Canis lupus familiaris: one gene and its partner. The main gene of each other region encodes a partner of the protein of the gene in region 2 in a complex. Links are inferred from orthologs where the notes say so. Each region holds a gene or a part of one and is shown on either strand. Other genes may lie near its edges.

Region 1 (5,614 bases), on a different chromosome or scaffold from region 2:
TCTTCTCAAGGATTGTAATGGTGACCTAGACTGGACGGAAGGAAAACTATGTTGAATGGAGGAATATAAAGATTTTTTTAAAAGTAATGAAAGCAAGAAAGGGACTGTGCTTTTCAGATCCTGTTAGTTCCTAAGCTGTGTGTCTTTAACTAGTAAAAGTGACAAGAAGTGGCAGTGAATGACAGCACATAATTTGTGATTGCAGAGATGATTTTGAGCATCCGTAATATAGTTTGCAGCACTGGATAGAGGAGAGGGTGTGGAGTTAAGCAGGTCTGAATTTAAAAGCTGGTTATGTGATCTTGAATTCATTTATTTCCCCGTAATTCATTTTCTAATCCACAAAATGAGGATAACAAATATTTACAGGAGAGGATTAGAAGAGTATAGGAAAGTACCTGGTGAATATTCAATAAATGATAGCTCTTCAATAAAAACTTAACCCTTGTTAAGATCCTACTGTATGCCTGCCACTCTGAATCTGTGGTTTTTAATCTTTGTCAGGCTTTGCAGAGAGGTAAATTCTACTTTAAAAAAAAGTGATCAAAAAATAAATAAATAAAAAAAAAGTGATCAAGGAGCAACTCAAAGTATTTCTCTTCCCTAGTTATTAGTAAATGTCCTTTGGAGAAGCAACCCATCTTTACGCTTTAGTGCAATCAGTTCCTTACTCAAAAGTTACTAGGTTTTCTTGGAAGTGCAAGAAGGGGGCTTTTTCTATTCAGTGATCTTGTTAAGAGGCAATCCTCACTTTTCAACCTCTCGCCACCATAAAACGCCAAGAGATTTACAGATTTTCTTTAAATCCTGTTGGTCCTAGTAAATCAGACGTTCCCCACTTCCAGTACCCTCAGCTCTCAGCTAGACGTTAGCAGTGAGGGTCAGGCCCTAAGCTTTTGCGACCCAACCCCCAACCTAAGTATTTCACAGGCTACTGAGCTGCGTGAAGCGGAGACTGCCAATTTTGGATTCTGGGATTCCCAGGACACCAGGGCAAGCAACTGAGCGGTCCACCCAGGGGTAAATTCCCCAGACGGTTTCTTGTGTCTCTGGGGCCAGCGCTTTAACGTCTGGGGAAGTCGGTCGGTGCAGACACGGTGACTAAGCGCGGCAAACAGCTGGGCAGATTGCTCGGAGCCCAGACCCATCGAGACCCGTCGTTGTTAGAAACCGGTTCTGGAAATAGCAACTCCAGCAGGTGGGCAGCGTTGGGGTGCGGATAAGGCGAAAGCACGTTTTAGAACTTTGGGAGCAAGTGTGCACTTCGGAGAATTCCTTTTACTTCTAGTTAAGGTTTGAAACCGGATTTAGCCCAAGGGGAGAGAAGGTAAACAGCGGCAACTTCACGCATCTGGAAAAACAACAACAACAAAAAAAAACCAGTTTGCATTCACATAGTCCCCAAAGTCTGCACAAACAGGTTCGGTATTAACATAAAAGACCCGCCGCCGCCGCCGCCGCCTCCGAGCGCTTCCCCCCGCGGGTTTCCTCCGAACGCGCCTAGCGACGGCGACGACTACGCCTGCGCCCCGGGGGCCTGCGACCCCGCGACCCCGCCTACCCCGTGGGGACGTAAGACGTGCGCCGAGGGGCGGGCTGCGCGCTGCGCATGCGCTCTGCTGGCGGCCGCCCTGGGTCCGCGCTGGCGGCTGGAGCCTCGGAGAAGCCGGCTGCTCTGTCTCTCGCGGGGTCCGGCGCGGCGCGCGCGGAGACCAGGAAAAGAAGGGCCGGCGTAAGTGTTCCCGTCGGCCGCTTGAGTCAGAACTAGAGCATTTCCTTCCCGCCGGGCTAGTGCCTGCGGGGACGCGGGCCCCGCCCCCTCCCCGGCCCAGACCCGCTTTCCCCTCCCTGCCCCCCTCCCACTGGGGACCTCCTCGTGGCCTCGCGTTCTGCCTGTGAACACCGCCCCCCCACCCCCACCCCCACCCCCACCCCCACCCGCCGCCGGCGTCATGAAGCTCGTGAGGAAGGACATTGAGAAAGACAATGCGGGCCAGGTGACCCTCGTCCCCGAGGAACCTGAGGATATGTGGCACACCTACAATCTAGTGCAGGTGGGCGACAGCTTGCGTGCCTCCACCATCCGCAAGGTGCAGACCGAGTCCTCCACGGGCAGCGTAGGGAGCAACCGGGTGCGCACTACGCTCACTCTCTGCGTGGAGGCCATCGATTTTGACTCTCAAGCCTGCCAGCTGCGGGTTAAGGGGACCAACATCCAAGAAAATGAGTATGTCAAGATGGGGGCTTACCACACCATCGAGCTGGAGCCCAACCGCCAGTTCACCCTGGCCAAGAAACAGTGGGACAGTGTGGTTCTGGAGCGCATTGAGCAGGCCTGTGACCCGGCCTGGAGTGCAGATGTGGCGGCTGTGGTCATGCAGGAAGGCCTCGCCCATATCTGCTTAGTCACTCCCAGCATGACCCTCACTCGGGCCAAGGTGGAGGTGAACATCCCTAGAAAACGGAAAGGCAACTGTTCGCAGCATGACCGGGCCCTGGAGCGATTCTATGAACAGGTGGTCCAGGCTATCCAGCGCCACATAAACTTCGATGTAGTGAAGTGCATCCTGGTGGCCAGCCCAGGATTTGTGAGGGAGCAGTTCTGCGACTACATGTTTCAACAAGCAGTGAAGACCGACAACAAACTGCTCCTGGAAAACCGGTCCAAGTTCCTTCAGGTAAAAAGTCTTCTCCAAGGATAATTAAGAGTGGGCAGAGGGATTTGTATAAAACTCCTCTTTAAGTTTTAGAACCGGGAAAAGTACAAGAGGACAAGGGGTTCACCGGACTGTGATTGTAAATGAGACAATGAAATGCAAAGAGAGTTGTTAAAAGGCCTTGTGTATCTAGTAAACTTTGCTTAAGTCCTCAAACCTATAAAGCCTCAGTTGTGCTTTTGGCTCTAGGTCATCGCAGGCTGATTAATGGGTACTCTCAGAGATTCTTTTGTCTAACTTTCATAATTATGATTCTAGGTACATGCCTCCTCTGGACACAAGTACTCCCTGAAAGAGGCCCTTTGTGACCCTTCTGTAGCTAGCCGCCTTTCAGACACTAAAGCTGCTGGGGAAGTAAAAGCCTTGGATGACTTCTATAAAATGTTACAACATGAACCTGACCGAGCTTTTTATGGACTCAAGCAGGTGGAGAAAGCCAATGAGGCTATGGCAATTGATACATTGCTCATCAGCGATGAGCTTTTCAGGCACCAGGATGTTGCTACCCGGAGCCGGTATGTGAAGTTGGTGGACAGTGTGAAAGAGAATGCAGGCACGGTTAGGATATTCTCTAGTCTTCATGTATCGGGAGAACAGCTCAGTCAGTTGACTGGAGTAGCTGCCATTCTCCGCTTCCCCGTCCCTGAACTCTCTGATCAAGAGGATGATTCTAGTTCTGAAGAAGATTAATGATTGGACCTTATAATTGAGACAAGCTGTGTCTCTGTTGTTACATTTTCTTAGCATCCTGACAAAAAGCTGCAAGGCACTTTGTGGTTCTTACAGTGATTTCTCATGTATTTGGGCACACTAGGTATCTTGTGATTGGCAGGATATGTGTTAAAACTAAACAATAAATTAAAATGAAATAATCTCCATCTACTACCATCTGTATTAATTAGAATAATTTTTGAAGAAATTATGAGTTATTTGCAGAGCTTGAAAACATATCTTGTATTTAATTAAAAAAAAATGGCTGTATATTCTTTGGGATAGATCATAAAATCCCAAATGTCATACTTTGAATAAGTTTTCCTTAGAAAAAGCTGTTTAATACTTCATTATCCTAATAAGTTTACATTATTTTAATTCTACATAGTGTTCTTGCACTGTTTAAGATCCCTTTACTCCATTTCTTCACTTTTTTTTTTTAATTTGCTATTTTAAAGGATGGCCAAATGATAGACTTTTCTAGAAGACAAATTTAAAATGTCCAAAGAGACTTGTTAAATCAGTCATGTTACAAGTAAACTCTTGGTAGGTTTTTTTTTTTTTTTTTCCTACTATTAATCTTACTTGCTTTAGAGGACCCCTTAATCAGTTATTTTTAGATATAGACTTTTGATCTAGAGATTCTCAAGATAAGCTATTTGAGGTATCTTTATTTTTAAAATGCAGTTAAGATACATGATTTGCTTGTTGTGTGACTAGTGCTAAAGCTGAAAATATTCATTTCTGGGCTCCATTTATTTGCACTGCCACACTATGTATTATTTGGCTTATCCTAGATATATGTAGTGCTATCTTATATTTCTATGTGGCATTAGTTTGTGCTTGCACATTCTTATTGGACTCTCTACACCTTATTTTAAGATGTGAGAAGGTCTACTGAGAAAGTTTGATTAAGTTACATCATTAGTAGCATGTGGTAGTTGACTTGTACTCCAGTACTCTTTACTGTAATGAGGGAGTTTCTGCTAATACCTGAGTTTAAAATATTTTCATTCGGTATTTTGGATGTGCATTTTAAGGGGTAGGGAGGGATCCTTAGAATGGAATTGCATCCTTACTTTTTACAGACCTCAGTTTAGCAAAAGAATTAGGAAAGGCGTTATGAAGAAAGAGTGATAATCAGTTTGTAACACATTGGTACCTACTTCGAGTATAAATACTAAGTAAACTTTTGCTAATCCTTTCTGTTTCTGGGCATTTCTCCTGGGATAAGTGCCAGGTCTGGGGATTATTTTTTATAAATTTAACTAATCTGAGTTTATTTTAATCTGTAATTAGAAATAGACACTTCCATATACTTTAAAATCACATTTTTACATATCTACCTCTTAATCTAAAAATAGATTGTCATTTTATTATAAGTCCATGAATATTTAACTTTAAAATACTATGAAAAACATGTTATTAAATTATTTGGTAGGAGTATAGAAATGAAACTGAGATTCTTGACATTAGAACCTGATTGATAATGATTTGTATTCTCAGTAAGAATTTGGAGAGTTGGGGCATATATTACTCTCATAACTTATGCAGTACTGGTTATTCCTAGATCTGTTATCTACTGTGATAGAAACAAGGAGAAATAAAACCTATGCATAAATCTGACCAATACATTTTAGGTCATAGGTTCTCAAATTTAGCTGCTTGTTAGCCTGACCTTGCGAGCTTTGGAAATTCATTACCCAGACTAGATCCCAGACTCAGTAACCTTTCACCCTAGAGATGGTTTTTTATAGCTCCTCAGGTGATTCCATTAGGTATCAAGACAGAACTACTGATTCAGGTCTCACTATTCAAAAGTATGGTCCATGGACCACCAGCAAGACTATGGATTGAGACCTTGAGAGTTTGACAGAAACTAGAATCCAGGACCTATCATGGACCTTCTTGAATGTCAGTCTGTATCCTAACATCTCCAGTTGATTACTGTGCATAATAAAATCTGATAAACATAGATGATAGTTATTCTCCCTGTACTAGTAAAAGTCTCTGGCTGGGGTTGCCAGTCATAGAGAAAAACATTTGAGTTTCAAGGTCTTTCAAGAGAGTTCATTGACCAAAATTCAGCTTAACTATAAAACTTCTTGAAATAAAAGTGTATTTTTTTGGCTATAAGGTAGTCAAAATATCTTCAAGAATTCCTGGTTTTAAAAAGTTGCATTATG
Region 2 (5,705 bases):
AGAGAGAGAAGCAGGCTCTTCACAGGGAGCCTGATGTGGGACTGGATCCCCAGACCCAAGGTCACGCCCTGAGCTGAATCAACTGCTGAGCCACCCAGGCGTCCCAACCATAGTTGTCCTGCTTGTATCTCTTCTCCATACTGGAGTTAAATGCTTTCCTTTGAAGAAAAGCTTCTATAACTAAAAACAGATTTGAAACCAGAAATTGTGATTTCTCCCAGGTCTGATCAGAACCAGAGCCCTAGTTATTTTGGTTGAACACTTTTATGAGAATTTGTAGAGATTTGTTTGTTTGTTTTGACTTGCCTAAATGCAGATTTGTCATGTTTTGGTTTTAGAACTAGCTGTGGTCATTCAAATATTTGCAAATTACAGTCTAAGATTTCACTTAATTTAGCCTTTAGAATCCTTCAAAAGAACTGGAACCTTCACATACTTAAGTTTGTTCCCTGTGGTTCTAGATGAAGCTAATCTAAGTGGTGTTAACGAATGAATGCCAAAATTGTTAGTAGAGATTTGCAAAAGCAAGAGAAAAGGGGAGAGTAGATATGAGGTTTTTAATGAAGTTGCAAATATAACTAATGTGACCCTTTCCTGAGGCCTAGGATGAAGGGTCTGAGTTGAGACATAAAAATGCCCCGAGAAGGGAAAAAGGAGTCTGCTTTTTGTTATAGTAGACAAGAGGAAAATAATGTACTGTTCTCATATAAACTGCTTTTTGTATGTAATTCTTTGCCAGTCTCAAATGGAGTTGGATAGAATTGGTTTCATTCTTAATAACTTGTAATTTAACCTGTTATTTGTCCAAATTCTGTTTATCTGTGTCACTGAAAGGAATGTAAGGTATATTGTAGTCTGATTGATTAGATCACATTACTGCTAGCCATCCATAGGATAGCACTGATACAGTTTCTGTAGGTAATGGTCAAAGAGCTTAATGAACTAAGGTCAGAGAGAATAAGTTATGCTAGATGGTCTTGTTTCTACTTTATGTATTGAGTCCCTCACTACATTATAAGCTTTTGGGATTAGTAGATAAATTTCTCATCTGCATCTTCTTTTCTTCTCAACATCAATGTCTAGTATAAGTTGTAATTTTTAGAAAATCAAGTATTTGTTTAGTTAATGAATTAAAAACTTCTTTGCTGAAAGTATTGAGAAAATGTAGACAGATAAGATATCTATCTCCCTTAAGGATAGTGTTTGAGCAAAAAAGATTAAAGTCTCTGTCCTGTTGGAAGAATGAGTTTGGGATAATTTTTTTTTTTTTAAATACTACTTTACCTCTGGGAACACTTTTAGTGCCAAGTTTTGTTTTGTTTTGTTTTTTAAAGATTTATTTATTTATTTATGATAGAGAGAGAGAGAGAGAGAGAGAGGCAGAGACACAGGAGGAGGGAGAAGCAGGCTCCATGCTGGGAGCCTGACGTGGGACTCAGTCCCGGGACTCCAGGATCGTGCCCTGGGCTGAAGGTGGCGCTAAACCGCTGAGCCACCCAGGGATCCCTTTTAGTGCCAAGTTTTACAAAATCTCTTCTTTATGCCATGTTTTGATAGGATCATATGGCTAAGGCTATGGCCTTGAATTCAGTTATTTTATGGGATATTTTCTTCTTATCTCAGCATTTGGTAGACTGTTTTTCTCCTGGGATCTTCTAAGTCTGTATTTGTGTGGTTTGTGTCTAGCTACTTAAAATTTCCACCTTAATAGGCTAGCCACTTAGTAGAGATCATTTTTGGTCTGCAAGTGTAAGGAATTAGAAGAGACAATTTCTCTGCCCTTCTGACATTAACAAGAGGATGTCAGTTGAGTTGGTTTAAACACTTTTTTCCTATCTCTGCTTTCTATAGAGTAACTGAAGAAAATGGTCATAGTTTCCACACACTTCAAAAAGAACATCTTAGTGAAGAAACCAGCATTGCTTCTTCTGATGTTCTTGACACTGTTTCTAAATCAGTTCTCCCATCCCACACCATTCAAACATCAGAAGAGCAGAATTCACCATCAGTACCGGTGAAGAAATCTGGCAAGCTGAGGCAGCAAATAGATGTCAAAGCGGAACTGGAGAAGCGGCAAGGAGGGAAGCAGCTCCTCAACTTGGTGGTCATCGGTAATGCCCTTTAGTCCTCTGGATGGTCACTCACCTCTGCTTTAGCCTAGCAACCTCCTAGTGGCAGCGTGGACACTCGTTCCCACTCTTTGAGTTTCTGTGTTGGTGTAAATGGACACAAGCAAGGAGGCATTGCATCATGATGCTTTCTAGTCACTTTGTGGGGAATGATGCCAAGTTATCAAGGAGTTATTAGACTTGTGGCATTTTCATTTTGTGAATATTTTGAAAACGCCATATCTTACTGACAGTTTTAATTTCCAAAAGTCAAGGAAACTCCCCCCCTCTCTAAAGAGATACTCTTTTTTTTTTTCTCCATTTACTTTAACTATCTTTTGATAAAAATTGGTATTTATTACTCGAAACACTGACACGAATTATTGGATTACATATGCATGCAATGCCTCGATGTGAACAACGTCTGGAAAATGTACCTAGTATTAATCCTGAATCAATTTTCCTTAGGTCATGTTGATGCTGGGAAAAGTACTCTGATGGGCCATATGCTTTATCTTCTGGGTAATGTAAACAAAAGAACTATGCATAAGTATGAACAAGAGTCTAAAAAGGCTGGCAAAGCTTCGTTTGCATATGCATGGGTCTTGGATGAGACTGGCGAAGAAAGGGAAAGGTAGTCATTATATTTCAAAATTTTCAGTTTGCAATGATATATAATCTTTTAAATAAGTATGTAATATGTGTTGAATGAAACATGCCATGAAATATTTTAGAAACTTCTTTTAGAGGAAAGCTTTCAATTATTGGGGAAATATTTTTATTATAGTTTCCATTGAATCTGTATACATTTACTATTCCAAATTCTATGAGAATAGTTGAATTTTATCAAAAAAAAATTAAAACACGCACACAGTAAAAGGCAGTAAGAACCCTTTGTTAATTATTCTGTGGGAGAAGTTTCAGTTGTCCCTTCCCGAAATATGTCAAATTGACTTGATATTGAATTAAAATTACGAATGAGACTAAATTTTATAGAAGATAACTTTAAGGGAAGGTAACTTTTTGCAGTAAACTCTTTTCTGTCTGGAATTAAAATGACCAGTAAATTTAAATTATCACACTTAATTCATTTTTTATACTTTCTGTAGGATGTTTTTATAAGATAGAGTCAACAAACAAGTAATTAAACCTACCTCCTACCATGGAGATTTAGTCTGTTACCCCTGTATCTATTACTGTGCCCAATGCTAACTCTGCAGGAGAGAACAGCTACTCATGGACCTCTGGCCAAAGTATTTCTTTTGAAGTCTTTTTAGAGTGATCATATGTATCATGTTAGAATTGTCAGGGATCAGAGAGCCAATGGCACCTTTGTCAGGAAAGAAAGAAGGCACCTAAATAAGTGAATTGGCAGGTGTATCAACTGTGTCAAAATAATAATTAAGTCCTCTGAAAGTCCTCTGAAAGTCCTAAATCAACAAAGGAAGTATTCTGTGTTTCTTATCTTCCTTCTGAGTATGATTAGAGAATATATTTGGATTTTCATACTTTAAAAAAGGTGTATATTTACTTTCTTGGAGTCTTGAATAGTCTACATTAAAATATATAAGGTAATCTCAATAAAGGGGGTCACAATATTCCTCAGCTCTTGTGATAAACAGAATTGTATATCAGGGTGGGTTTTTTTTTCTTTTTGTAGGTGTCTTATTTATTCTTTATAGCATCACATGCTTGTTTTCCAACCCAGTAAGGAAAATTAGTTGGTGGCAAATTTTTGGAAAATGAATATTGGAAAACAGTGGAATTTTTGTATGATGTCAATGTTAGAAGAACAAATAATTTCCACCTATCAGCTTACCAAACGGATTATTAAAATACATGGCTCCTTAGTTACATTTGTGTCATCTGTTAAATAGGTAAAGAGATTGAGAATGGTATAATTTAAGTTAGGATGACTTGTTTGAATTAATATGTGAGTTGAACTGGCAGGTGAGCTAATTATTTAATTTCTGGAATAGTCAATAATTTTAGTGGGGTTTTTATTCTTTTTGATACTATATCTACTGGTTGGCTGTTATATTTTTGCTGCTAGTAGTTTTCTATTGCTCAGAATGATGCAATTTTAGAATATTTTATGGTTCTGTAGATAGCAGATGCTTCTAGTTACATAATAAGAATTTTAACTCACCAGTAGTAATAGTATTTCAGTAGTATTTCAAAAATACAGTGTGTTATATCCTACCATATTAAACATTTATAAATTGTTCTGCTCATATGTTGAACAGAAATTAGTATAATGAGGGATATTTATATCCCTAGGGTTACAAATGCAGACCAGACCTGGCTCCAAAGAGTGTGTTTTGGTCAAAGCAGTCTATGGAGAAGCTCAGAATGAGTCTTGGTTCATCAGTCATCTAGACAATTATTTGAGGATTATTAGAATTAGACATCATTTTCACCAGGTCAAATGGCCCATGGTTTCAGATTAAGTTAGAATGACTTGAGCAAGGAGACCCATGTGTTATTTCATTGCTCTGCTAGGGTATTATCAGAACAGTTGGTAGTAGAATGGAGTGCCCATTCATTACTCTGGACTGTTTGGGGCAAGCCAGGATGAATGATTACCCAGTTTATTGCCCACCCAATTTCCTTTTCCTGATGTCTAGAAAGACTCAGTACCTTTGTAGACCCTCCCTGGGCTTTCTTATAATCCAAACCTACATTTTTTTTGGCTAAGAAGAGGCACTGTGTTGGTCTTCAAGAAGGACGAAACGGGATGTAAAACAAACTGTTGTTTAGTTCTCTCGACTTTTAAAAGTTTTGGTATCTCCTTTGATATTTCCTTTTTTCTAAATGTGGAACATTCTGACCTACCTTACAAATGAAAGTTTAGAAGTTTATTTTTATCATTAGTGAAGTATCTACATATGAAGATGAGGAAAACTGCCTCCATCCACTTTACCTTCTCTCATGGGCAGTATTTTCTGTTTTCTCTTCCAGAGGTGTCTCCATATATTTTTTTGTTCGTAGTCTACATAGCCTCTTACCCCCAGAAAAGGAAATGGGAAACATCCAGCATTTTTGTTAAGCTCTTGCTGTGTCCAAAATCTTATTTTAAAGGCATACACATGTAATTCTGTTAATTGCAGAAATTCTAGCTCCCAAGTGATAGCTTAATTAGTCAAAACAGTAGACTGTGTAATAAAATTCCCATTGTTTCTTAAGAATTCACTGTCAATTAGCCTATATTATTAAATGACTTAATCCATGGCACTGATTATTTCTATAGTATTTTCTAACCATTTTATGTTTTCTTTAAGGGGAGTAACAATGGATGTTGGTATGACAAAGTTTGAGACCACAACCAAAGTTATTACATTAATGGATGCTCCAGGCCATAAGGATTTCATTCCAAATATGATTACAGGAGCAGCCCAGGTACCAGATATTTCCTGAATTATAGTACACTGATTGTACATACAATTTCCTAATTCTGAGCTTATAATTCTGGGATTGTAACTTTTAAAGTATTTTGAAATTAAAAAATTTAACTTTTGAAAAAAAAGATTGTATTTTTATGATCTCATTGTTACTATATAAAACCTATTCTAATTATATAGATGCAAATTTATAAAA

Evidence for each region.
Region 1: HBS1L (region 2) and PELO share a complex: the UniProt entries of both Homo sapiens proteins name them as parts of the pelota-HBS1L complex. The link is inferred for Canis lupus familiaris from reciprocal best matches to the Homo sapiens genes HBS1L and PELO.

The regions. Positions count from the first base shown.
Region 1 is NC_049225.1:63,364,529-63,370,142, reverse strand, and holds PELO (protein pelota homolog), read left to right. Parts: upstream 1-1,912; 5' UTR 1,913-1,952; coding exon 1,953-2,678; intron 2,679-2,975; coding exon 2,976-3,407; 3' UTR 3,408-3,600; downstream 3,601-5,614. UniProt on the Homo sapiens protein: Component of the Pelota-HBS1L complex, a complex that recognizes stalled ribosomes and triggers the No-Go Decay (NGD) pathway.
Region 2 is NC_049222.1:27,967,294-27,972,998, reverse strand, and holds part of HBS1L (HBS1-like protein), read left to right. Parts: intron 1-1,851; coding exon 1,852-2,111; intron 2,112-2,576; coding exon 2,577-2,742; intron 2,743-5,389; coding exon 5,390-5,507; intron 5,508-5,705. UniProt on the Homo sapiens protein: GTPase component of the Pelota-HBS1L complex, a complex that recognizes stalled ribosomes and triggers the No-Go Decay (NGD) pathway.